Tamandua tetradactyla: one gene and its partners. The protein of the gene in region 3 interacts with the protein of the main gene of each other region in a biochemical or structural test. Links are inferred from orthologs where the notes say so. Each region holds a gene or a part of one and is shown on either strand. Other genes may lie near its edges.

The links.
Region 1: the proteins of ARF1 (region 3) and CYTH2 are reported together in a solved structure, tested with the Homo sapiens proteins (3 studies listed by BioGRID and IntAct, with this or other methods). The link is inferred for Tamandua tetradactyla from reciprocal best matches to the Homo sapiens genes ARF1 and CYTH2.
Region 2: the proteins of ARF1 (region 3) and PLD2 form a complex in vitro, tested with the Homo sapiens proteins (2 studies listed by BioGRID). The link is inferred for Tamandua tetradactyla from reciprocal best matches to the Homo sapiens genes ARF1 and PLD2.
Region 4: the proteins of ARF1 (region 3) and ARFGAP1 form a complex in vitro, tested with the Homo sapiens proteins (2 studies listed by BioGRID, with this or other methods). The link is inferred for Tamandua tetradactyla from reciprocal best matches to the Homo sapiens genes ARF1 and ARFGAP1.

The regions. Positions count from the first base shown.
Region 1 is NC_135342.1:12,587,065-12,593,947, forward strand, and holds the start of CYTH2 (cytohesin-2), read right to left. Parts: upstream 3,016-6,883; 5' UTR 2,890-3,015; coding exon 2,775-2,889; intron 2,462-2,774; coding exon 2,314-2,461; intron 2,229-2,313; coding exon 2,162-2,228; intron 1,122-2,161; coding exon 1,003-1,121; intron 725-1,002; coding exon 644-724; intron 213-643; coding exon 100-212; intron 1-99. UniProt on the Homo sapiens protein: Acts as a guanine-nucleotide exchange factor (GEF). Promotes guanine-nucleotide exchange on ARF1, ARF3 and ARF6. Activates ARF factors through replacement of GDP with GTP.
Region 2 is NC_135332.1:60,581,444-60,588,727, forward strand, and holds the start of PLD2 (phospholipase D2), read right to left. Parts: upstream 3,023-7,284; 5' UTR 2,926-3,022; intron 2,416-2,925; 5' UTR 2,415-2,415; coding exon 2,306-2,414; intron 2,217-2,305; coding exon 2,086-2,216; intron 1,984-2,085; coding exon 1,841-1,983; intron 1,427-1,840; coding exon 1,321-1,426; intron 1,229-1,320; coding exon 1,163-1,228; intron 1,019-1,162; coding exon 960-1,018; intron 820-959; coding exon 727-819; intron 629-726; coding exon 476-628; intron 1-475.
Region 3 is NC_135346.1:63,009,829-63,016,994, reverse strand, and holds the start of ARF1 (ADP-ribosylation factor 1), read left to right. Parts: upstream 1-4,150; 5' UTR 4,151-4,282; intron 4,283-4,468; exon of another isoform or gene 4,469-4,660; intron 4,661-7,166. UniProt on the Homo sapiens protein: Small GTPase involved in protein trafficking between different compartments. Modulates vesicle budding and uncoating within the Golgi complex. In its GTP-bound form, triggers the recruitment of coatomer proteins to the Golgi membrane.
Region 4 is NC_135327.1:60,781,249-60,788,199, reverse strand, and holds the start of ARFGAP1 (ADP-ribosylation factor GTPase-activating protein 1), read right to left. Parts: upstream 3,003-6,951; 5' UTR 2,857-3,002; intron 2,572-2,856; exon of another isoform or gene 2,264-2,571; intron 1-2,263. UniProt on the Homo sapiens protein: GTPase-activating protein (GAP) for the ADP ribosylation factor 1 (ARF1). Involved in membrane trafficking and /or vesicle transport.

The DNA of each region.
Region 1 (6,883 bases), on a different chromosome or scaffold from region 3:
GGAGGAGCCAGGCCCCCAGCCCCTCCTCTCTGACCCAGTTAGGGGAGGAGCCAGGCCCCCAGCCCTTCCTCCCTCAGACCCTGGAGCCCGGGCTCCCACCTGTGGACTGGAAAACCCCAGGGTTGCACAGGCAGTATCTCTGGGCGAAGGCCTCCATCATCCGGTCGATTTTCTGGGCCTCTCCAGGGAGGCGGAAGCTCCATAGAAACTGCCTGTAAGAGGAGGGGCCGGGTATGGATGGCGGGCTGGCAGGACCCCCTCCCCCACGGTCAGTACCTGTGTTTGGAACTGGCCAATAAGAACTCCAAATCTCTCCTGGACTCAACAGTTGTTTCAAGGATAGATATGTGATTATCTGACTAATGAGCACCACCTCTGAGAATTTTGAAGGACTTATATAGCAACTGCTTCTATTTTTCTGCTGAGGTTGCTCTGTAGGTCTAATGGTTGCTAGAAACTTCTGTTTTCATGTGGGAGGAGGGTCTGCAGAGAGCAGTGCCAACACAGTGGGAAGCATAACCAGGAGCTAAAGTTAACTTCCTGACCCTCTGAGCACCTTAAGTAGTCATTACATGAGTAATTAATTTGCAACTCAGAAAGTCCCAATAGATGCACACCTGCCCTCCCAACCCCTCGCCCTCACCTAAGGGCTTGTACCAGATTGAGGTCGGTGAATTCATGCAGATCCACAAAGGCGTGGAGCACCGCCAGGTTCAGCTCTTCCCTAGGAGGACAGGGACAGATTTACAAACAGAAAGGAGTTTGGGGAGGTTGGTGTGGGAGGAGACCTGAAGCAAAGCCCTGGGAGATAGTGGCTGCTTCCAAACAGTGTGGGCAGTGTCTGCCCGGCCCCCATTGCAGACCTGGCACCAGGGGGCTGGGGGTGGGGGCAGTGCTCAGCACATGCTCATGGCAGGGTCATGGGCTGAGAACCCTAGTTTGACTGCATGAGGGCAGGAGCTGGGGGCATGGGGGACAGGGAGGACCCGCAGGTGCTCTCACCTCTCCCCCAGGTAGTCCCCAATGGCCGTCTTGTTCAGTCCCTCGCCTTTGTACAAGAAGCGGGCGATCTCCTCGGGTGTATTCTGCAGAAGTTCATTCTCCACCAAGAACTGGATGCCCTGAAAGGTAGGAGCTGGGTCTCAGGGCTGGGGCTAGACCACCCTGGTGGTGGTGGAGCCCACCTGCCCATTGTTAACACCCCCAGGAACCCCTTCCCCCTCCCCCAAACAGGGAAGGGCCAGGTTTCCCCTTCAGGCTCCTCCCAGTCCTTCCATCACCTCCCTGCCCTCGTGGCCTTTGCATCTGCTATTCCCTCTGCCTTTGCTGGTTAATTCCAGCACTAAAACCAGGGCCAAGCGAAAAAACCAGATACCCAATACATGCTTCTTGAATGACTGGGACAAACTACAATTGTTTTCGGCAAGAATAATAAAGGGAAAACTGCTAGCAGACAGTTAAGGGTTCTGAAGGCCAGGCCCCAGGCTGGGCTGGGGCTTCTCTGGCCCTTCCTGCACCATGAGGATCTCCATTCTCGTGATCCACTGCTCTGGGTGTGGGTGCTGTGTCAAGAGCTTCCTGAGGGTCAGGCAGAGTCTAACAACTGGGGAGATCTCTGACACCGCCTAGGGCAGAGACAGCCCATAGGAGGCCTTGAGATATGGGTGCTGAATGAATGATGGACTGAAGCAACATTCTTCCTTCACCCCACGAACATTTAACCATCAGTCAAAACTGCCTGGAATGTCACTTCCTCAGGGAAGCCCTCCCTAACTCTACCAGGCTCCCTTCTTGTGTCTGCAGCTCTGGTACTTCCCTCTGTCACAGTACTGGTTAACCCTTTGTGCATGGTCCTGTCCATGTTCCCTACCAGACTCAAGCTCCTCTCAGGATCTAAGGTGATACCAAAAGTGGGTTCAGAAATATGAATAGAAAGGAGAAAAGGCCCTTATAGGCAGGGATACAACCCAAGCAAAGGCAAGGAGGCTGGACCATTTGGTTACGGTTTACAGAATAAACAAACGAACAAATGAATACGTGAATCCAGGGATTAGGATCCAGTGTGTAACCACCCACAGTAAACCTGTCTGTAACCATCACACTTCCACAGGCTGGTGCCAGAACCCCCAAATGGATCCCAGCTCCCAAGGTCCCAAAGCACCTTCTTAGGGTCCATATTGAACTTCTTCCTGCCCATTGCCATCTTCCGGTTCCGCTGCAAGGTCTTACTGCAGGGGCAGAGGGTAGGGGGTGGCGGGTCAGTACCTGGGCAGTTCTAGCCCAGGCCCCCACAGCCCCAGTCCCAGCCCTCACCTGCCCTCATTGGCCTCCAGACCCTCCACCTCGCTCATGGCTTCGCTAAGCTCTTCCCGCAGGCGCTGGATCTCCACCAACAGCTCCTGCTTCCGCCGTCGGATGTTCTCCAGCTCCATCCGTTCCTCTGGAGTCAGGTCTGGGGGTTCTACAGGCAGAAGTCAAGGGCAGAGATCAGGTCTCGGGGCTCCAGGACCTGGATTCTTACAATCTGGGGGAAGGATGGAGCTCGGGGCAGGCAGGACTCCCTAGGTCCTGGGGGAGAATACGAATGAGGGTGCTGACTCCTGTGTCTGAGGAAAGGCAGGCTGGGAGGCTGGGATGCCTGGTGTCTGAAGGAGGAAGGGGCTGGAGGCTGAGTTCTTCCATCTAGGGAAGGAAGTGCTGGGGAAGGAGAGGACTCCGGGCTCCTGGGTCTGAGAGAGAGGGGGACCGGGAGCCCGAACTTCCAGGTCCATTACTTGGGAGGGGGCTGAGGCCTTGGTTTTCTGACTCCATTACTGGCGAAGTGGCGGGGGCCCGGGCTCTCCGGTCCTGAGCGAAGATGGGGCCGGGCAGCCGGACTCCCGGGTCCATGGGAATAGCTAAGGCGGGGCCAGCTGGTGACAGGCTGTAGGGGTTGGGACCGGGGGGCGGGGCATTGGGGGTCCCCGCCCCCGCCTCCGCGGGCCCTGCGAAGCCCCGAAGGTTCCTCCCCGCCCCGCTCCCGGCAGGCACCGGGCTCGACCGGCCTCGCCTCCCCGCTCCATCCCGCCCCCTCCCGCCGCCACCGGAAACAGGCTCAGCCCAAACAATGGCCTGGAAGGCTTCGCTCTCGGGCTTCGCCGGAAGCCCGTCCCGCACTCCACAAAAGCGGGGCGACGACGGGGCCGCGCAGTTGGGGCGGCGCACGCCGGACGGGGGCTGTGGGGGACACCCGCCGCGGAACGCTTGGGACCAGACGCCCCATCCGCTCCCGGCCGGCCCCGCCCCTCCCCGACCTACCATAGACACCGTCCTCCATGGCGGCTAGGAAGGCCCGCGGGGAGTCCGGGGCGGTGCCGCCGGTCGGACCGGGATCCTCGTTGGCCCGCGGGCTCGGGTGAGCCCGCTCAAACGCCCCGGGAGCCACCGCCGCCTCCTCAGCGCCAGTCCTCAGCGCTGAAAAGACTCTCCCTTCGCCTCCCAACCGCCCCGCCGGTAGGGACCGCCCCTCGTTTTGACACTGTCCAATCCACGGCGTGGCCTCTCGTTTGCCCCGCCCCCGACACCGAAGGACCGTCCTCCAGCACCAATGGGCGCATGAGGAGCTGAGATAGGAATGTCGGGCTGGGGGTAGACGGTCGGTGGGGCCAATCGGAGCGCGGTCAGGGCGCCAGGCCCCGCCTCCGGAGCAAAAGAATGCTCTTTGCAGGAGTGCCCACCAATGAGAAGCCTTGGAAATGAGTTGCATGGAGGTGGTAATGTGCGGGAACCTAGAGAAGTGCGCCTGCGCTCGGGCTCTGGACACAAGACTTGTTCAACCATGCCCCGCCTCTAGTAATGAATTGTTGGTGGGGGGGTGGTTGGGGTGGTACTTTTGTTAGGTCTGTTGCCAAGGGGTGGGGCCACAGCTGTCGGTTGTTCCTTTGAGCCACACCTCCTAGCAGACTAGGCTTGCTTTTGACCTCAGCGGTTGCCATGCAACCGGGTGCCGCTTGGCTCACCTTCCTTATGGCCTTTCTCCTCTCAGGCCCCTCCTCTTTCCACACCCTCTTTATTTATTTATTTATTTTACGCCCTCCTGCGTAGTCATCAGCTCTTTCTCCTAAATGCTCTGCTATTGGGGATCTGTCCTGGAGACTGAGACAATAGGAGGCTACAGGCTGCGCCTTCCTGGCCCCTTCTGCTCCTCAGGCTCTCCCCCTCTCCCCTCCCCTCAATGCTCCATGCGTCCTCTTAAACTCCTCCCCCCCCAGTTTAGCATCCTCCTCCAAACCCTTCCCCTTAGCATCCTCCCCCGTAAGAAAACACCCCTTTTCTCAGCATCCTTCCTCCCTCCGAGTCCTTTCCTTCCTCTGAGACGGTTCCACCTCCCTTCCCCAGCCTCTCCTTCCCATACCTTGCTGGGAAAGCCGGTGCAACGTCCGGGCCCGGTGGGGAAGCTGAGCCCTGCTGAACTGGGGCTGAGGTGCTGTCTGAGCATCGCCCTCATTGGTCGCCCCTGGGCTGGGCAAGTGGGGTCGGATTCAGGGCCAGGGCTTGGTTAAGCTGTCGGATTAGACACGGAGCCTCTTAATCCCTTCGCTGACCTTTCTGAGAGGCTCAGACCTTGCCCCCCCACACCCCCAGTGGAGACCCCGGTCGTACCAGCCCTGCCCCCTTCTCTCTTTCCCAACAGACACACCCCCTCCCTTCACTACCATCTTAATACCCTTGCCCACCTCTGTGTTTCCGTTGTGCCCCTCCCTACCTCAGACACGCTGGGCTGGGAGAGAGCAGCCCACTAATTAATCCCATCCGGTTATTACCGAAGGATGAGAGGGGGTTGGGGAGGCCAGAAGTTGGGGCCTGGGTTGAGGCAACACGTAAGCAGGCTGACAGGCAATGACAGTGCCTGTCTTCAGTCCTGGGACACAGGGGTGCGAGGTGCCCTTCTCACTGGCCCTGGCTCCCTCTGTGGCTGGCTCCAAGCCTCCGGGGCACTCAGGTAGATGGGAACATGGGCAGAAGGGCAAGCCTGAGGACCCGTGCCCCGGAAACATTCACAGACACACCCACCAAGTCTCCCAGTTCTTTAATCTGAGGGACAGATCTCCCCCTAAAACACAGGCTTCCCCCACAGTGGGAAGAGCGCTGGCATCAGAGCTACCCCTTTCTCCTTCCCCAGCCCCTCCCCACCCAGCAAGCTGGACCGGGGAAGTGTTGATTTTGGCCCTGGACCACAGCCCACATCATACCCCTCGCCTGCCGTCTGCCCTGTGACTTAGATACCAAGTTCAGAGCCAGTCTCCATGAGTATCTCCCATCTCAGCGTTCCAGGGCTGGGGAGACTCTCACCCCCACCACAACCTTCAGTAAGATGAGAAGCCATCCTGCTGGAAGGGTCCTTGGAGAATGTCAAGTTTCAATGCCCTGTTTTACAGATGGGGAAACTGATGTGGAGGGGAGTTATTTGCCCTAGGTCACACAGTAAGTTGGTGCTAAGTTGAGATTTACAGCAAAGCCTCCCAGATCCTTGTAAGGACTCGGTTCCAATTAGCTCATGCTCAATTTCTAACCTTGTTGTAGGAATGAGGGGAAATATATATCATATATATATATAATACATATATGTATAACATCTTTAAGAAATAGATATACATCACTAGGTGTAGGTTTCCAGAGCTTTCTAGACTCAACAGCCTTGTGTCTCCCCCTTCCCTTACTCGTTAATCAGCCCTGCTACCTACAAGGTTTCACCTGGGCTCTCATCTTCTTGGACAGCCCAGAAATTCTGCTTAGCAATTCCTGGGCCCACCTCCAAGAACTACCAAGCACTCCATCTGGAGGTGATCAGAATTTCTAGGCCTCTGGTAATGGGCAACTCCAGATCCCTGAAGCCTCGATTCCTTTTGGCATTACAGAACCACAAAGAAGTTTGCTCTATCAGTTAACAATCTAGAATCATTGAGATTCTCAATACCACTGGGCAAACCAGAACCAGTATATCAAAATCACCACTCCTTCCTTGACTGTGTGATCAATAGGACCTGCAGAATCCACATTCCTTTGGGCAATCTAGAATGATACTTTAAAAACAAACTCTGAGTCATTCCGAAGCAGTGATTATCCTTTTGGTTGGATGTTGGCCAGTCAGTGGTTTGGAGTTTAACTAATATCAAAAACTGCCAATCTATCATTTCAGTACTTCCAGACCCACAGACTCTCCATTGCTTTGTGCATTTTAGAAACATAACTCTTGAATTTCTGGAGTGGTTTGACTCTCTAGGTCAAACCTGGTTGTGAATCACCAGTGCTTCCCTCTCTGATCAAGCTAGACTCACAGAATCTCATCTCTTGGGCTTTCTGGAACCACAGGTCTTGACTTACAGTCCAGATATTCAGTCATTGTCTCTCATCACTCAAGACAGTCTTGACTACTTGGGGCATTCCATAGCCTTCTCTCCTTGGGTGCTGGAGAACACATGATTTGGTTGAGTCTAGAAACAACAGTTCCTTGAGTTTTAGGTCAATTCAGACCTACAAACTCTTGTTCCCTGTTGCTGTTTGAGAACTGTTAAGTTCCTCCCCCAGAGGTAGTCAATACCACTGATTCTTGACTGTTCAACAACCTGGGACAGCCAGCCAGAGGAATCTAGAACTACTAGTCTTTGCCTCTTGAGTGGTCCAGAATTCTGGATTCCTCTGATCTGTTGAGACTCAGGCTCATAAAGGAGTCTCAGATGGAAGCATGGAACACAGAGGGATGAAGGTCCAGTATATCCATGATGAATCCACCAGGCATGGCAGGGTCTACCTAGATAATAATTTACCCAAGGGGCTGTCGGCCTTGGGGAACCATCTGCCCCCATCCCAGAACAGAGCACCATCTCTCCATCTCGTTGCCTCT
Region 2 (7,284 bases), on a different chromosome or scaffold from region 3:
TACAGAGAACAGAGAGCTGGACCACCAGTCCTCCCCCTCCACACCAGAGACCACACCACAGCCACAACACAGACCATCCCAGCGGGGCTAGCACCTCTTTCCCACTTGCTCCCTGAATCCCTAACTCACACCTCTACAGTGACAGGGCATATATTTGCCTCATTTGCAGCTGGGTTCCCAGCACCTGGTGCTGTACCAGGCACTCAGGTTTGCTGAATGAAGAATAACAGAATGAATGGAATTCCTTTTCTTTTATATCAAGAGCCCTTCCCCTGGGCTCCTTATTTTCAACCCCCTTTCTCTAGCCCCAGACTCGAAGAGCAGCCCCAGGCATCCAGCTGGGCTAAGCAGCCTGTTTCAAAATCATGGCCAGATCAAGGAGGATGGAAATTCCTTCCTCTTTTTTCAAGGTCTCTCCCCCTCATCAGCCCTCGGGGCCCTAGGGCTGGCTCTCCTCTCCTCAGAAAAGTCTTACCTGTGGGAGGTGTCGATCCGGACCCCATACCGTGCCTCTGTGCTCCTCTTCCCCACCTGCACCTCGAAGCCAGGGTCAAAGAGTTGAACAAACGAGATGGCGCCGGTCTCGAGGCACATGTACAGCAGGAAGGAGTCCTTCACCACCAGCCACCTGGAGCGGAAGGGCTCCAACCGTTCCTCCCTGCCTTCAGGATCTCCCTCCTCACCCCCACCCCCCACCCTGCCCGGCTGCTCTACCCTAGCTCTCACCTCTTGGACCAGCGATAACAAACTTGGTCTCGGCCACAGCAAGTGAGGCCAGGGACCCGGTGGCCCCCTGAGCGCTTCCGGATCACCCCCTCCCTGTGGGGAAAATCAGGAAGAGATGCTTGATGAGGAATCCAGAACCTCAGCCCGTCCCGCACTGTCTTTTCCATTCGCAAGTCAGGGAGAGATCTAAAGAGATCTTGCAGATGGCCGGGTGAAGGGTATCAGACACTCACAGGCCTTTGGAGCCAAGATCTGGAATAAAGGAGAGCTGACTGACTTCTAGGAACTCCGTCTGCAGAGGGAAACAAAGGCTCAGAGAAGAGACCCCAAACTTTCAGTCTCTCAGCCCCAAGCAACTCTGGCCCTCTGCTCCCTTGGAGGTCTGATTATACTGCTCCTTCTCAAAGGACCCAAGCATCCAGCTCTTGAACCTTACCATAGCATGGTAGTTGCGGTAGAAAGACATGGCCAGGAGGCAGTTGAGATAATTCTCCAGGTATTTCTGGAGTGGGGATGAGGGGAGAGAGAAAGACAGATGGGCCCAGAGCCATTTATATGCCAAACCTTCCCAGAGGCCCTGGTGTCCATTCGCACCTGCTTGCTAGCTGCATGTCTGGTGGAACCCTCGGGACCCACTCGGGGTAAAGAGGGCATCTCCCTGTTGGCTGCCTCTCGGGCTGGAGAATAGGCAACGGCAAAGCTGTGGAAGAGATGGGGGAGGGACAGGTAAGAGTTGGGAGGCTGGGTGCCTGGATCTCTGGAGTATTGAAGGTGGGACCTTTGGGGAGGGCAAGAGGCCTAGAGACTGGCAGAAGGGAGCACACCCCCAACCCCCACCCTGCCCCGGGAATGGAGACAAGGGAAGGGGGGAAGCTGCCAAGGGCATTTCGGGCATCCAGCCCAGTTGAGATACTGGCACAGAACCATGGAGAGCTGGGCAGGGAAGTTTTCCCAGCCATCAACGTTAGCGGAGGGGGACCAGTGGCCAGAGTTAAGGGGAAGGAAAGCATCTGGGGGTGAAAGAGGAAGAAAGGAGAGAAGAGGGCTGGGGTAGTCCATGCTGCCAGAGTGAGGGGCACCTGCCCTTCACAGGAAACAGCTCCTTCCCTCTCACCGAGCCAGAGGGAGCAGACTCATCAAGACTTTGTGTCGCAGGAGGTCCCGGTGCAGCTCCTGGAAATGGCGAAACTTCTTTTTGGTTGTCCAGGTGAAGTTTCCATGAGTCAAACGGACAGAATATAGAGTGCAGGTTCCCACCTGGGGGAGTGAGGAACAGGGTCGACCGGCCCTGGTCAGGTCCCAGCCCTCCACTCTGGCCACCCCTCCCTCTACCCACCACCCTGGTACCAGCCCAGGCACCTTGGAGCCACTGGTGTATCTTTCAGTGCCCACCACCTGGGCTGTGACAGGGACTCCAGAGGCAAACACCAAGGGGTGCATTTTCAGAGGCTGAAGGTCATAGATGGCCAGAAAGGGGTGCATCCGGTCAGCTAGGAGGAAAGAAAGCAGAGGAGTGCAGATCCCAGGAAGCCACAGTCCCCTGGCCCTCCTTTCCCTGAAGGTCTTCATTCCTGAGTACCTGGGTCCTCGCCCTCCCTCAGAGTGTCCACCTCATCGGGCTCCATCTGCAACTGGCTTGAGTCCAGGTCACCCCCACTGTAGAATGGGCTCCCCGGGGTCGCCATCATCCTAGGAATACCAGGAGGTATCAGGGAGGTGGCCTGCCTCAAGTATCCCAAACCCAGGGATCTCCAGCTCCCACAGGCCCTCTCCTCCACCCACCTAGACCACAACCTGTAATCACCGCCCAAGGGTCTGCAAAGTTCCGCAGACTCCCCTCTAACTTCCATCCTCTGCCGTAGTCCTTCATCCCGAATCCCTCCGCCCCGCCCCTGTCCCGTAACTAGGGCACCGAGGGGCCCCCAGCCAGGTCCGGACGGGACAGAGCAGAAGCTGGGAGGAGGGACCTAGGGTAGCGAGAGGGGCCTGGGGCCGCCGGGGCCAGAGTCGGGCCCAGCCAGCTGCGAGAGGGGGTCCGGGCGGGAGTGAGGAAGTTACGCGCCCGCAACCGGGGAGGGAAACCCCGAAATCTGAGAGTGGGGGCTGAGTCAGGAGGCCCCGCAGCCGAGCCCATCCCGGTCCCCGCCCGATTTCCGGGACCCAAGATTTCGGAAGGCAATCCCACCCCGGTCCTCTCACCCTGGAAGCCGAAGGCGACGCCCGCACGGGTTGGCGTGCTGTGGGGAGCAGCGCGGAGCTCTGAGCCGGAGCCTCCACCCCGGCGGCCGGGGCGGGGCCGGGGCTCAGGGTCTGCCTTCGGGGGCGGGACGGTCCCCGGCCTCACCTCCGCGGGATTCTCGTCTGTCCTGTCCCGCCCCCGCCGCCCTCGGCCCGCCCCGCCGTGCTGCGCGTAGCCCTGGGTCGGGGGGTCGCCCTGGGCCGGGTGGGGCTGGATGCTCGGCCGGGTGCGTCCGGCTGTCGGGGCTGTCCACCAGTCTGTCGGTCCATCCCGCGTCGTCCGTCCCAGCGGACCTTGCCGCCGCCGGGTGGGACTCCGCGCTGCGCACACTGCTCACTGCTCGGGCGCCGGGCTCTCCTCAGCCCGCGGGCGAGGCGGGTCTGCCGGGTCCCCTTCCCCAGCCAGCTGCGGACCGGGTCCGGCCTAGTCCAGCCAGCGAAGTCGGTGGAAGGAATGAGGGGACTATACAAGGCCGAAGGGATGGTGGCTACAAATGTATGCTTGCGTTCATTCATTCGCCCAACTTGCGCACCTGCTTCAGGTGGGACGGAGTACGAGGGAACCTGCTCTCCTGCAATTTATAGTCTGGGGGCAAGCAGGGAAATCCTCAGGTCCTAAAAGACGATTAGATGGATGGATGGATGGATGGATGGATGGATTGGATAGGTGAATTTTTCTCTCTTTTTGAAGGATATTTAGATTTTGGTTTTGGCAATTATGAATAAAGCTTCTTTACAAGTTTTTGTATCAATTTGCATTTTTATTTCTCTTGGGTAAACAGCTAGGAGTGGAGTTGCTGGGTCCTAGTAATGTGTATAAGAAACTGCCAGACTGCTTTCCAAAATGATTGTGGGTTTTTTTGTTTGTTTGTTTTTTGGGCACGAATCTTGCCACTGGAGGGTGCACGGATGGTTCAGTGGTAGAATGCTCGCCTTTTATGCAGGAGATCCGCAATCAATTCCCGGACCATGCGGGGCCGGTCCCCCACCGCCCCCCAAAAGAATCTTGGAACTGGAGAGTTAGTTTAACATCACTCTTTCAAGCTATAGTTTTTACATTATTGCATTTATATATACAAACTACTAAATGCACTTTTTTTTTTGCTGTAAACAGTCACAGGTATTTAGAAAAGTAGAAGAGGAAAATGTATCTTTTATTATTACCGTGTTTCTGAGGAATTGCACTTCTTCCTGAAATCTGAGTTCTCATTTGTCTCATTTCTCTTTAGTCTGAAGAATTTGATCAAAAATTTTTTCTTTGTTGGGCAGATTTGCTGGTAATAAATTGTCTTGAATTTTATTTTTATGAATATATCTTTATTTCGTTCACTATAGGATATTTTCATTGGGCATAGGTTTGTGGTTTGACAGTTTTTTCCTTTTCAGTACTTTAAAGATGATGTTCTCCTGACTTTTAGCCTTTATCATTTAAAAAAATATTTAAAACAGTTTTTTTTTTTTTTTTTACATGGGCAGGCACTGGGAATCGAACCCAGGTCTCTGGCATGGCAGGCGAGAACTCTGTCACTGAGCCACTGTTGCCCAATGTTTAAGACAGTTTTATTCACACACCATACAATTCATCCAAAGTGTACAATTAATGACTCAGTGTAATCACAGAGCTGTGCCTTCATCACCACAATCAATTAAAGAACATTCTGATTGCTCCAGAATGAAAAATCCCATACCTCTTATAACTCCCCCACCATTTTTGACACTTTTTATTGGTATAGTACCTTTGCTACAATTTATGAAAGAACATAATTCTAGTCTATAGTTTTAATTAGTTGTATTTTTCCCAGATACCACCCTATTATTAACACCTTATAATAGTGAAGTACATTTGTTTCTAATTCATGTGAGTCCATTCTTACATTTGTACAACTAACCACAGTCATTGTCTACAACACGATTCAGTATGTTATATAGTCCCATGGTTTTTCTCTAGCTTTCCTTCTCGTGACATACACAATCCTAAACTTCCCCTTTCGACTGTGAACACACTCATAATTCAGCGCTGTTAATTACACTCATGGTAATGTGCCAGCATCTCCTTTATCTATTTCCAAATATTTACAATCAACCTTATTAAAAATTCTATACAAATTAAGCATTGGCTCCCCAATCTCTATCCATAATTCTATCTCCTGGTAACCTATACTCTAGATTTTAACTCCTAGAGTTGGTTCATTTTAATTAGTTCATATTAGTAAGATCATACAATATTTGTCCTTTTGTGTCTGGCTTATTTCACTCAAAAGAATGTCTTTAAGCTTCATCCATGTTGTTTCATGCATCAGGACTTCATTCCTTCTTACAGCTGATTAATATTCCATTGTACATATATACCACATTTTATTTTTCATCAGGTGATGGACAGGCTCTTTTCATCTTTTGGCAATTATGAATAATACCGCTGTGAAAATAGGTGTGCACATGTCTGTTTTAGTTCTTCTGCTTTCAGTTCTTTTGAGGATATACCTAAGTAGCAGACTCTCCAGATTATTTGGCAATTCTACATTTAGCTTCCTGAGGAACTGCCAAACTATCTTCCACAGTTGCACCATTTAACATCCTCACCAGCAGTGAATGAGTGTTCCTATTTCTTCACATCCTCTCCAACACTTGTGTTTTTCTGTGTTTTTGATAGTGGCCATTATAGTTGATATCTCACTGTGATTTTGATTTGCATTTCACTAATAGCTAGTGAATTAAACATCTTTTCATGTGCTTTATAGCCATTTGTAGTTCCTCTTCGAAAAATTTTCTATACGAGTCTTTTGCCCCTTTTTAAATTGGGATGTTTGTCTTTTTGTTGTTGAATGGTGGGATTTCTTTATATATTCTAGCTATTAAACCCATATCACATATATGATTTCAAAATATTTTTTCCCATTGAGTAGGCTGCCTTTTCATTTTCTTGATGAAGTCCTTTAAGCACAAAAGTATTTAATTTTGAGGAGGCCCAATTTGTCTATTTCTTCTTTTGTTGATTGTGCTTTGAGTGTAAAGTCTAAGAAACCACCTCCTACCACAAGCTCTTGAGGATGTTTCCCTACAATTTCTTCTAGGAGTTTTATGTCCTAGTTCTTTTATTTAGGCTTTTTTTAATCCGTTTTGAGTTACTTTTTTTTATAAGGTGTCAGATAGGGATCCTTTTTCACTCTTTTGAATATGGATATCCAGTTCTCCCAGCACCATTTGTTGAATAGACCATTTGTCCCAGTTGAGTGGATTTGGCAGCCTTCTAAAAAATCAATTGACCATAGATGTGAGGATCTATCTCTGAACTCTCAATTTGATTCCATTGATCAATATATCTATCTTTATGGTGGTATCAATATATCTATCTTTATGCTGTTTTGACCACTGTAGCTTTGTAATATGCTTTAAAGTCAGAAAGTATGAGTCCTCCAACTTTGTTCTTCCTTCTCAAGATGTTTTTGCCTATTTGGGGCCCCTTGTCCTTCCAAATAAATTTGATGATTGGCTTTTCCATTTCTGCAAAGTTGGGTTTTGGAATTTTGATTGAGATTGTGTTGAATTTGTAAATCAGTTTGGGTAGAATTGACTTCTTCACAATATTTAGTCTTCCAATCCATGAACACGGAATGTCCTTCCATTTATTTAGGTCTTCCTTGAGCAATGTTTTATAGGTCCTTTACATCCTTTGTTAAATTTATTCCTAGATATCTGATTCTTTTAACTGCTATTGTTAATGGAAATTTTTTCTTGATTTCCTCCTCAGATTGCTCATTATAATGTATGGAAACACTGCTGATATTTGTGTGTTGATATCTGTTTTTAGTTAGCTATAGTTTCTGAAATGCAGTAGACCAGAAATGGGCTGACTTTTTTAAATTTTTTTTTTAATGGGCTGACTTTTAACAATGTGGATTAAATAGTTTACAAGCTAACCGTTTTCAGGCTGTGAAAATGTTCAAATCAAGGTATCCTCAAGATGATCCCTTCTTCCTTAAGACAAGCTGGTGATCATGGGATTCACATGTGGCATGTGCTGGTTCTTTTGTCTTGGGTTTCTTTTGTTTTTAGTTTCTGGCTGCATTGTCTTTGGCTTTCTTTCTGAACTTCTTTGTCTTCCCTTAGCTTCTGTGTGTGCTGCTCTCAAAGCTTTTCGATTGTTTCATTTTATACTTCCATAATAAGGTATGAAAGTTCCAGTTGCTCTACAGCATCACTGACACTTGATATTGTCAGTCTTTTCAATTGTTAGCTATTCTAATAGATGTGAAGTGCTTTGTCATTGTGGTTGTATTTACATTTCTCTGATGATAATAATGTTGACCATCTTTCTGTGTG
Region 3 (7,166 bases):
CTGTGGCTTCTCCGGATGTCCAAATGCAGCAGCAGCCTGTCTGCTGAGGTCCCCAACCTCCCCTCTGTGGCTTCTCTGTCAAGAGCCAGAGCCGGGAGACCCCAGCCAGGGACCACTCCAGCAGTCCAGTGAAGCCTGGGGACCCTTTTACTTTTATTTACTTACCCCTGAGCTTTTATTAATGCATAAAATAAATACCCTTTATTACAAAAACAAAAAAACAAAAAAACCCAGTACAGTTAGCAAAAGCTTTAAGCTTTGTGGTATAATAACTTTTGGGGGTGACAGATTTTTCAATATCTTGATGGAGGTGTGTTCACACAGATCAAAACTTATCAAATTGTACTCTCTAACTATGTACCGGCTTATTGTCTTACAATTATATCTCGGCAAAGCGGTAACAAAACAGAAAGAAAAACTAAAGCCTTGTGGAGAAAGGGGGGAAATCTGATCTAGTAATAAAGTCTTTGTCACTGACACCTTCAATAAGGAGAGCTGGCAACAGGCTGACAGCCTCCTTAATTTCAGCTTAGTGAAGAGCATAAACAATATTTTGAGATTCTTGCAACAGCTCTAATGTGACATGAAAATACCTGAGGTTTCTACCCGTTGCAAATCACAGGTCCTGCTTACCCTCCTGTTTTTGTGTGGTGCCTCCATTGGAAGTGGGAGGAAATGCCAAATGTCAGCCAGAGGTTAGTGAAAGAACGATGTGCTCTTCCCCACTCAAGTTCGTGGTCCCTGAGCTGCCTCGGGAGTGGCCAAAAATGGAGCAGACACAAGTCCTTGCCACCTGCAGTGGGCATTCCAGGGAAAAGCAGCGACAAAGCAGAAGAGAGGCATGTGGAGACCCCTGCAGACACCATCAAGGACGCCACCTTGCCTGGTGAAGGCCCACTGCAGGAGTCTGCAGGGGTTCTACCCTGGAACAGCATCCCAGGCAGAGGGAACAGCAAATGCAAAGGCCCAGAGGCAGGAGAGGCCCTGGCCTGTTCCTGGGAATTGAAAGGGGTCCATGAGCTGGACCAGGAGTGAGGAGACCATGGGTTGCACTGGGCATTCACCTTGGAGCCCTAGGGATGAACATAAGGGCAGGCCAGAGTGACCCTGGCTTTGGGGTCTGGTCCCAAGCACTTTCCCTGATGGGGGAATCGAGACAGGAGCAGACTTGTTTGTTAGGGGGAATCAGGTGATGCTAAAAGGGACTGGAGGTGAGAGTGGTCCCCTGAATCAGTTCTCTCCCATCTCCTGGAACTGGACAGTGGTCCTCATGAGCCTTTTAGCTACTGTGTTCTCCGTAGGGAAACCCATCTCCTCTCATGACCCAAGCTCCCCACATGGCACAAGCCAGTGAGGGTACAGGCAGGGCTGGCCCCAGGACCCAGGAAGGACAGGGCCATCTTGGAGTGGGTTGGAGACATGGTGTGGGTGTCGGGCTCTTGGAAAAGACTGAAGTCCAGCTCGCCAGTCATTTGGCCCCCTACTCCAGCCCCCATCTCCTCCTGACTCCCCAGAAGGAGGCAGAGTGGGCAGATGACCACTGGCTGGTTACCTTGGACAGCAGTGAGCAGTTCAAGTAGTTTCAGCCTGCAGCAGCACTGAAGTCAATGACCTCTGAGCTCCCCCTTCCAGAGGCTGTCGGGGTGGAGGGCAGTGGAAAGGGCAAAGGTGGGGGCTGCACAAGACTAGGGGTCATGTTGAAGGGTGGGGCTAAATATTAACCGTGTGACCTTGGGTGTGTTTCCTGACCTCCCTGAGCCTGGATCCACACACAAGAGCTTGCATGGCGAGCTTGCAGGACTTATGTCCATCCCTAGGTTAGGGCTAGGGTCCTTTAGTATAGATAGGATCACCTCCTCTTCCCACCTCCCTCCAGCTAACCTGGCCCACCAGCTTGGTGTCACTGCATGGGGAAGCCACTCTTCCGTTCAGGCCGGTTCTGTCTTGTCCTTCCAGCCCACCTTTCCCAGGACATTTTCCTGTTTGACCCTGGTCATTCGAGCATCCCCGAGGGGAAGAGTCCAATCCTGGGTCCCAGCAAGTCCCTGGCCAGTGGTTGGGTTGAAGATGAAGACCGGAGCTGGGGGATTCCCAGCCTCATGGTGGAATGTGGGGTTTGCCCTCCACCTCCAAGCCTCACCCTCCTGTCATCTCACATGGCCCCAGCTGGCCTGAGACTATGCGCCCCCTCCTGGCCTAAGCTGGGCGGGCACCCCTCTAAGGCCCACTTCCCGGGGCTTCTTTACTACCTCTCTGGCCCAAAGACACCCTTACCCTAGGGGGACAAAACTAGTAGGATAGACTCAGGAGGAATTAAATTTCTTACCCTGGGGTGGGTCCACAGGAATTCATTTTATTTTTTAAATAACTCGCTTCCTTCCTGTGTATGACAGTTTCCACACAAAAATTTTTTTTTGCCATTTTAAAGAAAGGGGAGGAGAGCCTTCGTCCACAACCAGGGTCGCTGGACCCTCCACTGTCTCCTCTCCACTCTCTTCTGTGGTTTCCTTAGCTCTAAAGGGGTTGTAATCAGAGAGGCGTCTGGTCAGGGACCTGCTCCCTGGGAGTGGGGAGTTCACATCACCAGAAGGTACTATGGCCCTCCACACCCCTCCCTGGAGACTCACATCCCTATGGGACGCTCTGCATGAGCACTGTGGGGTATCTGGGGGTGGGACAGAGACTCCTAAACGTAGCAGTGGGATGGAGGTGACTGCAGGGGGAGATGTGGGGGCAGGGGCAGAGGTGTGGCCTGAGTTTGGTTCTTAGAAATGACCAGATCTGGGGGTTACAACTGGGCTGGAGGGCAGGACGGGCAGAGGCCTGTTCACCAGCGTCGAGCGTTTGGGTTGTCTTGGTCCCAGGAGTAAGATTCTTAGTGGGGACAGGAAGGCACAGGGTCATCACTCTCTGAGGTGATCACAGCCCGGCAGGTGCAGCCTCAGGGCAGGGCTGGTGCGATGTCATCATCCCACAGTCAGTGGGTCCTGGCCCTGCCCAAGAGGAGTGGGCGTGCAATGAGTGCACAGAGGGTTGGGAAGCCTCCTGCCAGGCCCTGTGAAACCCTCAGGGCCTGGCTTTGATGCCTCTTCCAGGCAGGCCCCTGGCCTGCTGCTTGAATAGAGGTGATTGCAGCAGGGCACAAATGATGACCCCGTTTTCTGCCTCTTTGAACACTTGGGCACGGGGCTGCAAAGCTCTCCCAGTAATTTCACCAAAACCTCCGGAATGGGAGATACATCTCACAACAGCACAGGGTGGCAGGAGGAGAGAGCCCAGGCAGTACAAAAACAAGTAAGGAGCACTGGGGATAGGCGAGAGGCCCAAGTGAGTTTCCAAAGGGAGGAACAGAGCCAAGCCCTCATGCCTTGGAAACGCGGGGGAGAGCCCGCTCTCGTCCCCTCTTCCCTCTGGATCAGCCCAGGGAGGCTTCTCGGAAAAGGCTCCTCCTTTCCCCACCTTCACACATCGTGCCCTCTCCTGTCACACGGATCACAGTTCCAAGGCCACACCCCAGTAGAGGAACCCTGGCCGTCACTATTCCACGCTCGGAACCCTGTATCCCCTGACTCAGTAAATCATTTACGTTTTTATCATACTGTCAGCTCCAGGGTGCAGGCACATGTCTGTTGCGGTCACCGGCTGTACCGTGGGCACAAAGGCCGGGGAGGGGCAAGTAGGCGCCCAGTGCTGGAACCTGCGGGCGCCCTGGAAACCCCCTTTCCCGCTTGTGGCCACCTGTTGGTGGCAACGGTTTCCACAATACCCGGCCTGGCTCCACGACCGCGCGGCCTTGTCTCCGGCCCGCCACGGGCGCCCGGACCCTGAAGAGGGCGGAGAAAGAGCCGCGGCGCGGAGATGAGCCCGGAATCCCGGCTACCGGACGGCGACCGACCCGGGTCGGAGGAGGGGGCGCGCTATGGCACCTCGGCCCCGAGGTCCACATCCGTAAATGCGCCGCGCGGCCTCAGCACCGAACCTTCAAGGGAAATGCAGACGGAGCGCCCCCGGGTGTAGGTCCGCGCGGGGGGGGAGGCGGAGCACGCAGGACACGGGGCGTGGCGACGCACCCTCGACCCCGCCCCCTGAGTTACGCATGCGCGCCGCGAGCGGGGGAATGGGCGGGGCATACCATATCCCCGCCCCCAATTACCCGGCGTCACCCGCGGCACCAGGCACTGACGTGGCCGCCGTCAGAGCCGCCATCTTGTGGGAGCGAAACCAACGCCTGGCTCGGAGCAGCAGCACCAGCAACAGCAGCAGCCGCCGCGGCCGCCGAGGGGTGAGGGGCAGTGCGGCGGGAGGGCGCGCGAGCAGCTGGGCTGGCCCTGGGGCTCGTGCGTGAGTCCCTGTCCACCCGCGGCGGCGGCGGCGGCGGCGGGACGGGAGGTGGCAAGGCTGAGGCCACTGGGCGGGCGGCGCGGAGCCGGGGCTGGCGCGGAGGGCTCGTCGGGGCCTCCTGAGTCTCCCTCGCTGGCCTCACATCCTGCTAAAGGCAGCAGAGCGTCTTCGCCCGCAGCCGTAGCGGCCTCTCCCTCGCTGGTCCCGAAATCCGGAAATCCGGGCTTTCGCTCTTGGCCTCCTAGGGATGTGGGCTTTTCCTTTAAAAAGCCTTCATTTCCTGCTCCTTTCGAGCCCTCTCCACTTGCGCAGCCGAAAGGTTTGCTTTCTCCTCTGTTCAGAACTGCTCGTTCGGGCGGGAGTCACTGTCGGTAACTGGCGAAGGGAAAGGAAGCCCGAGCCGGAGCCTTTGAGTCATTTGGCTGTGGGAGGGCGGAGGAGGAAGCGGGGTACGTAGGGTTCGAAGTAGGGGGTGTCTCCCACAGGGCGGGTGAACGTTTAGTGAGCTTCCTCCAAGCACCCTCGGGTGCAAACCTCTGAAAAGGGAATTTTGCAAATCTCACTCCCAGGATCAAGAAACCGAGGCTCGGAACAGCTCCGTGACTCGGTCAAGGTCACAAATCTAGGGTTTGAACCCAGGCCTCCTGACTCCAGTTCCTGTTTGCTCTGAAAGTGGGAGTCGGATCTGGAGTTGGCCTGGGTGCTGCTGGGGGAGGGGAGGAATGGCCTGATTGGAGCTGCTTGAGGGCAGCTGCGTTCCCTTGTATTTCCTGATTGAATGCTTGGGTCTTGAAGTCTGTGGACTTCAAGAGAAACCCAGAGTTCCGTCTGAAGATATAATTCGGGTCTATGAACACTTCATAGGAACACCAAGCTTAAAGAACTGCCTTCTAAGTCTGCACTCAAGGCTACTGTGGCCTTTAGAGAACTGATTTATCCTTACTTTAATTCCAGGATTTCCTCCTTGAATGTCACTGGGAATAGATAAGACTCTTTCTTTCCAAGCTGGTGAATTTTTAACCCACATATAAAACAATTTGTTCATAGGATCTAAGCAGTCTTCCTAGCAGAGGTGACTTAATGCTTTCTTGTTGCACAATTCGGGTTGTTCTGGCATTTAGAACGTAATTTTGTTAATAAGGCTTAATTATAAAGTATTTAAACTATTAAGTAATTAATTCAAACAGCACTTCTGAGCTAGGTGGCACTCTCCCCATTTCATCAAAGGGAAAAGGAAGTTGCTGTTTAAATGAACTGAGCAGAATTGCACAAGAACTCATAGCAGGAAATGAAAGGAATTCAGAAGCTTTGGGGTAGTCTCAGAAGTTACTGTTGAGCTGTGTGGTTGGTGTCACTCCTGATGTTGAGAGTTGTCATTTGTAGTTGTGTTTTCAGAACTGGCGGTCAGCAGTTTTTTCTGCTTGCTGTTTTTATCAGAGGTTCTGATGTTTCCTGCAGTATATCTGAAGGAGTGTAAGCTACCACTCGGTCCTTCTGCCTTGATGTCTTCTAGTATTTAACAAAGTGTTACTGCATGTATGGTGTTACCAGTTAATTTGAGTTTTCAGGAATACTGCTGTAAGTAGCTAGAACTGTACGAACTTGAAACCTGTAGCATTAGCTGGGTCGAAAACTAAGAGGAATTAAATGGTTTAAATGCTCATCACAAATCTGGCCGCATTGGTAGAAGTGTATTGTCTTATTAGCATTGAGGTTTTCTGGTGACCTCACATTTGAGGGCATAGGTGGGTCTTGCCCATGAACCTGGGGTAGGGTCCCAAATCCTGGGTGTGCCGCATCATAGGGTGTTGTCTTCAGGAACGTCTCAGTCAAAATAAGTTAGTATCACCCAACCTTAGAAGTATGCTGTTTCTTGTGAGGAGTGTCTGCTGATGTTCAGGATTGCTCTTCCAAACATATTTAAAATGGGTGGTTTGGATAATGGCTGGCTTACATTCTGCCAACTGAAAGGAAGTTAGTAGAAAGCATAGAACTAGTTTTGTGGTCCTTACTGGTCTAGCTTTTAAAAATCACATGTTCTAAGTATTCACTTTACTTCTTGCAAAATATGAAGGGGGTGCTTAGACATCTTCAGCTGCTAATGTCTGTACCAGACTAATTAATGTAAGAGCAGATTGGCTTAGAAAAAGGAGGTACACCCTGGCTTTTTTGCTTTCTGTAAAATTTTTAAATGGCTCATCAGCTGTTAAGGTGCTCTCCAGAGTCAGATGGCCATAGGAGTAAGACTAATCAGGGTAAAAAGTCTGCAAGTTCATATTATAGTATGTTAATTTGATTTGAGTGCGTTTAATCCATTTCTTAGATTTTTCAAATTAATTGTTACCTTGATCTGTGTTAAAATCTGTTTTAAAATCTATGTTAAAATCACAGGTCAGGCTCCTAAAGCTTTGTTTGCACACACCTTCCTGAGGGTTGTGATCGTTTCGCTGTGGAAATGACCAGACCTCAGTATTTGGGGCTTGCCATATTATTCACTGACTGCCCCTGTTCCCACTGTCCCTAATGCAGGCATTCTCCCCTTTGACCTTTTCACTTTAGAATTATTACAAGTAGAAGGGAATAAAATGCTGATGTGTCAGAGGAAGTTGGGAGAGAAACATGAACATTCCTTTCTCTTGGGATTTTAAAATTAAATGAGAACTTACCTTTTTTGAACTGTATCTGCTCCCCATTGACATAGATGTGGCTTCCCACATCATCTGCATTCATTTTAAAAAGAAGATTTTGACCTAATGGTGAGTTGGGTGTGTAACCCTTCCTACTGGAAAGTAAAGGATGGTGAGTGTGAGGGTGGGTGGGGGGTA
Region 4 (6,951 bases), on a different chromosome or scaffold from region 3:
CAGGCCAGGGGGCAATGCAATTATTAAGAATGAAATGCAACTGCTGATGTTTATTTTGCTTAAGTATCATATACTATGACTGCACAATTTATAAAAAACTATCTTTTCAGTGGTAAAGTTTCCCAGTAATTGATTATGGGGTTGTATATACAACTATGTGATGATACCATGAGCCAGTGAACATAAACTTCAGATGCTTTGTGTGGTGTGTGAATATATCTCAATAAAACTGCATTTAAAAAAAATGCAGATTGACCGCTAAACTGGATTTCATGCCTAAACGGGTTGCATAGAGACCTGGCCTGAAACCCTTCAAATCAATGGAAGTCCCTGTGCAGTCTACATCTCCCCCCACAGCACTGAGACTTCCTGGCTGTGCCATGGCTATGCCAGTGTCGTGCGCCAGGTGTGAGAGGCCAGGTGTGCTGGAAGCACGGCAGGTTGGTCCTCTGTGGGGTCACCTTTCTCCTGAGAGATGGAGATGGCGGCTGAGCAGCCAGCACAGAAGGGCAAGGCAGGGAGCCTGGACATCACCAGACTGCCATCAGCTCAGAGAGACTCAGAGGACCGCAACACAGTTCAGGCTGAGAAGAAGAGCTATTTATCTCTTCACAGACCTAAGAGTTTTAGGAAAGTTAACTTCAACTTGTGTCCCATTTGAATTCGTGAGCAGGAAAATCAGAAAAATGACAGATTTAAAGCCAGAAAGAAGGGAGAGGGGGTGCAGTGTGCCGGGTGTAAGCTAACTGCCCAAATCCTGCGTAAGCCATGGCTGACCCGGCTGGAGAAGATCTGAGCAGGAGACAGGGACCTGGGTGAGGCTCCTAGACCCTACCAGCCTGAAGCTGCATGGACGCCTCTTGTCTGAGTGTGGAACCTGTGGCCTGCTCCCTCTGACTCATGCTGCATGCAGCACACACTCTGTGAGCGCATCCAGGTGATGGAGACCTTGCACACATGCGCTGCAGAGGATGCCTCCATGTCGTCTCCTTGCTGCTTCACTCTTACACTCAAGATGACTGTTGGCAGCTGGCTTTTCTATTAACAGTGTATAGTTGGAGCGTTATGTGGAGGCACAGCTTGAAAACACAGAAGACTCGCCATCCTGTGTTTCCTTTCTACTCTTAGTTGTCAGAATGGGGGCACTGACTCACGGGAATCAGACTGCTGCACACGACCAAACCTTACAAATCTGGACACTCTCGGCCCTTGATGTCCATTAGCGTACACTCAAACTATTTGAATTTAGGATTAAACACTTGTTTTCCATAATTGACCAAAACAAAATCAAAAGTTTCCTCAGGGCTCCTCTCCACCTTGCCCCTCTCCATGTTGTTCTGATGGTCTACTGAGCTCAGAAGTGCGTGAGGACAGTGAGGACAGACATTCAAAGGCACCGTGATGCCTGCCAGCTGCACCACTGGGCCCGAGTCTCACACAGTGCCATCGCCACACTGAGCAGCTACTCACGTACAGCACCAAAGGTGCAAACGGGCAAGCACAGTGGGAGAGGAGCCCCCATGTACCCTTGTCTCCCACAGCCACCCAGGAGCCCTTGTGGGGCCATCCGGGGCTGGAGGCCCACGTGCCCACAGAGAAACCAGGACCCATCAAGATGAGGTGGCTGCATAGACTGGACCAGCCCAGGGCTCCAGTATGAGACCAGCGCTCTTTCCAAAGCACCAGTCTTTGCCTTCAGGCAAGCAAGTGGTTTTCAGAACAGTCAAACCCATGGTGAAAAATGCTCTGAATTTCCAGTTGTGTTTACAAGGCAGAGAAGAACTACTGGTTGATTTAAAAGGAGCTCTTCTATGTGACCAAACTTTGATATTTCAGAGCCTTTTAGCTTTCTTCTGAATTAACTTTAATAACATGGAAATAAAATCTGCCTAACTTTCTAAATCTAAACATGAGTTTATCCTGAAATATAATCTAAGAACTCATTTTAACACTTAAAACCAAGAATGTAAAAATATGTTCTGATACACTCAAAGTCTCAATGTCTAAGAACAACAGATCTTTCTCATTCTAAGGAACAGATTATTTCTGAACTGCCTGGGATATAGTCACAGAAAGCTAAGAGGTACATATCCTCTGGCACATTATTAGAGCCCCATTCTCAATGCCACAATAAACAGCGTGGCAAGGAATGTTAGGTCTGCATTAAATGAGCAGAATCAGGAGTCTGTCCTTAAACTGTTTAACTCAAGATTCACGAAGCATAGTTACTTCAAACCCACAGAAACTAAAAAAAAATAAACACCTCAGATTCTTCTTCCTCCCCCAAGGTGATCACCCACATGAGAGGGTAAGGAGGAGAACATCACAGACACCAAGCTGAAGCGGCCATTCCTGATTAAAGTGGCCTTCTTGGTACCTTACTTCTTGGCTTGACCAGCAACCAGCCCATTGAGGACTTGAGATGGGGCCCGACTGGATTCCGTGTCCAGGCCAGGTCCGGGGTCCCCAGGAACCAAGAAAGGGGCAGACCCGGCCCACCGGTTCTCACTCCACGGAGGGGGTGGGGGTGGGCAGGGGTCCCCGGAACTAGCGGAAGACATCAGACCCTGGAGGGGAAGCAAGCTCGGGGAGGGTGTGTGTGGAAGGCCGGAGGCGTGCCGAGCGGTGGGGATAGGGACCCGGGTGGGGGCGGCCTGGCAGAAAGCGTCCGCGGGAGGGTCGGAGGAGGGAGTCCCCGTAGGCAACAGGCCGGGAGGTAGGGGGCCGGAGGGGCCCGCAGCCTCAGAGCCAGAAGGAGGCAGACCCGGGGCGAGCGCGGGGCGGGGGCTCGGGAAGGGGGAGGATGCGAGGGGGTCCCCGTGGGCAAGGGGTCGGCGGTCTGAGGCACGCGCTTACCAGGCGGGTGGACCGCACCACCGGATCGATCCCTGCGGGCTCGGGCCGGGTGAAGGTCGAGCCGGGTGGAGGTCGCGCCGTGCCGCGGAGCTGCACCGACGCCGCGCGCCTCTTGCCCACCCGGCCGCCACCCGCTTCCGGCTACGTTGCGCTTCGCAAGGCTTCACGGAACACCGGAGGCGGGCCGGCCGGAGGCGGGACTTCCGCCTCGGTGCCAACGATGCCGGAAGTCTCTGCCGGTCCCCATGGCGACGCGCATCTACCCCGCGGGCGTGGGCCTAGCGCTGGCCCTGGGCAGGTTCCGAGTCTGACAGGCGGGCATGGGGAGACTGGGAAGTGGCCTGCGCTGGACCGAGCCCTGGACCCGGGCCGGGACTCAGGTGTTCTACGTCTGGGCATCGTTTCATGTTTCCTTTCACTCAGCAGCTGATAAACTCCAACCTCCAGCCGGATGCCACAAGGCTGGTTTCAAAGACTGTTGTGCAGATCAGAACTGAGCCATTGAATAGTTTATTCCAGGGGAAAAGGCCCAACAAGAGGGTAGTAGTTAGAGCAATAGAGGTTCGCCAGGAATACCAGCCATTTAAAAATGGCTGACGTGGAAAGATGTACTTAGTGCATGTCAGAATCTGAACGGGAAACCGATGGCTCGCTCAAATTAGGATAATTCAAGGCCGCGTTGTATAAAGGTGTGAGTGGGCTTAAGGAAGCTGCAAGGAATTGTGCACATGGGGCAGCAAAATGTTAGTCTCTCCAGGTTCCAGAGGCTAGGGGAGGGAGAGGGTGGGCGCCTCAGAGATGTGCTCATTGGTTGAGGTCCACAGCCAGCCCAAGGTGACCTAGCAGGGCAAAACCAGGAGAGTAAATGTGCTGGCCTCTCTCTTTCCTCCCACCCTCTGATCTCCTGCTGGGCATCCTATTGGCTGACCCCAACAGAAAGTCACAGGACATGGGAGCCCACTGGGACAGTCTAATGTGGGGAAAGACAGGGAGTGGTTCTGGATTGGTAGCTGGAAGGGATGCAGCAAGCATAATGTATAATATGGGTTTTTCAAGTAGGCTACAAAGTAGTATGAATGGTCGGAGCCCAGACATGTGAAAGTATGCCTATTGAGAGACAACTATTTAAAATTATTATCTGGGGATGGGACAGCGTAATTGCAAGTTATTTTTAGCTTTGTTTTTAATCTTTGGTTTCTTGTTTTGTCTGCATTTTCTTCATTAATCTATGTAACTTTTGAAGTGATCAAGTAACATGTTTATTGAAGTATAATTTACAGATAAGTAAAATGTTCAGCTACATGAGTTTTGACAAATGCGTATTCCCATGTAACCATCACCACAATGAATTATAGAACCCTTTCATTAATCACCCTGCAGGGGCAACCAGCACAAGACCCCATATCTTAGAGTTTGTGTTGTTCTAGAACTTCATATAAATGGAATTGTGCCATGTGTTCTTTTTCATGATGGCTTCTTTCACTTAACATTATTTTGTAAATCCATGTTCTTAAGCTTTTGCTTCATCCTGCCTTCCTCCCTGGTACATTTTTGCAGCTTCAATTTCTCTATTTTTCTCCTGATTCTAACTACAAGATCCTTGAAGAACTTTTTGAAGAATCAACCATATTCCTTCCCATTTTAATGGTGTATAATTTTTTCCCTGCTGCTTTTTCTCTTCAGAAAATAAAACAGCAAGTATGGTTAACAATATAGAAGACTACAGTAAAATTCTAGATCATGTAGCCTGAAGATGAAAGAAATTTTAAAATATGTACATTAAACATATTTGTGAATTGTACAGAAAATCCTGTTTGCTGGATAAGTACACCATTCCTTTCTATAAAAACCATCAATTCGGCTGATGTTAGGTTTGAGAAAAGTAAATCAAGCTTTCTGGCAGACATATTTCTTCCCTTATTAAAAGCATCAGTATCAGTTTATTTTTCTATAGAAATTTTTAGGTTTTGAATGTTTTCTCTCTTCATGTATTTGCTCAGGCTCTCTCACTCCAATTTTCTCTCTTGCTCCAGGAAGTGAATAATTATAATCTGTTGTGATGTCAGGTATCATCCTTTCAGGCCTTTTCTGGCCCCTGAAGACACACTGGAGACTGGAAGTGGCCCCGACCAGCAGGCAGTTCGCATCTCTCAGCACTTCTGGGGCATGGGGGTGAGGATGTGGTGAAGTCTCTTCTCCATGTCAATCCCTCCACATGTTCCAAAGCCTATAGTCATAGAGAGGCGTCTGTCAAGACGGGAGCATGTGCATAGCCTCCAATGTGGTCCCCTATCCTATGCAGGCCCAACTGGCGGGCGGTTACAGTGTGCTTGATGGGGCAGGAGCAACATCGGCGTGGCTGACCTGGAGCACCACGGCACTGAAAGGGACCTGACATGGTGTCAGACCATGGAAAGGATATCCTGATCTTGAATTTGGGGGCTGCAGCTGGCCAAGGAACCCCAGTACTGCCAAGTCAAGAAGAACTCTGTCATGTAATTCTCTGTTTCATGGAGTTTTTCTAAATGCAAACCCTGATTCAACACACATCAGTTTGTATCCAGTAAACACAACTGGACTCTCTTCTTCTTCATTAGCAAATTCAAAGTTTTCTGCTTCTGGAAGCTGGAAACTCTATTTCTGACTTTGCACTTGCTTTCTGTGTACAAGTGTCAATGTCATCCACATAGCTGGGGATGAGGCTGGGCATGTGTCTGCTCTGGGCAGAACTGAACTGAATGACATGGCTGGGAGACAGCAATTAAATGAGATCAATGAGGAGTGAAAGCCCATTGTCTGTCACCTATCCACGATGTTGATGATTAGAGGAGATTCTTTTAAGAGCTGAACACATATTTTATGTTATCAATATAATTTTCAGAGTTTTCTTTACAAGCAGGTTTCCTAAAATATACCATGTTCTGTGGTGTTCTCTGGTGGGTGAAAGGGTCCCAGAATTGGTTCTGTAACATTAAGTGGAAAAATGCAACCAGTAGGGTAAATTCTGTCTGCCCAAGGTCACAGTCCATATAGTCAACACAGGAAATGCTGTCTAACAACAGGCTGAACAGATATCTGTAAGATGTTGACTTCCCAAGGTCCTGAACCCCACACACCAGAATGACAAGACAGCCATCCACTTCTTCACAAGAAGCACTGCCGAACTCTTCCACTGCAGAAATAACACTCACATAAATGAATGCCATTTTTTCTTCTACTTCTCCCAATGCCGACAGACCTCATGAATAAATAGCAGTAATTGGGGGGGGGGCTGGATTCTCTTGTAAGAAAATAGGAGATAAACTTGGATGGCTGAGTATGTAGGTGAGGTTTTAGCATCACCATAGAATACAGAGGAGAAAAATGCTTCATCAACTGACATCCATCACCCCAGTTAACAAGCTTGAAGCAAAGCTCGGGCTTCCCTTTGCACCTTCTGGCTTTTCTCAGGCATCAAGTAATGAGACAGTGGGTGTAGGTGGAGGAAACTTTGCAGGCAGCTGGCCTGGCTAAGAGTAAAACTAAGCACCTGTGCACGGCCACCCGGGCAGTCACACCACACAGCCCACCAAAACCCGAGAGTGCTGGAGCGGCAGCAGGACTGGTGGAGCGACGATGCATCATGGAGGGAACTCCGAGGCCGGGACTGGGCGGGGATTGGCGGTCTTGGGTCCTCCGGCAGAGGTCACGTGTTGCAAACCCGCCGCCCGCCACACCATCACAGTGCACCCTCCCCAGCGGCTGAGGACAAGTTGAGGCCGTGCCTTGCAGGCAGCTTCGCCAGCAGCCTCCCTGCATCCCTCCATGGTGCGGAGAGCTGCCCTGGGGGCCTAACTTCCCAGCCCTCCCAGCTTGTCCTGTGGCGGGCTGAGCCCTCTGGAGGGTGTTGCTGGCCCTTGCAGCAAGAAGCCGTTGGCACACACTGGAATGGAGGCTGAGGCAATGTGGCCAGGTGGCCAGGCATGTCCACACAGTAAGATTTCAGTTTGAGTCCAGTGGTTGATGCTGTGTAGGCTTCACATGTTTAGAGAGTGGGAGCCATGGGCTGGAGCAGTCCTGGTGGGCTTCCTGGAGGAGGTGAGATGGTGAAGGATA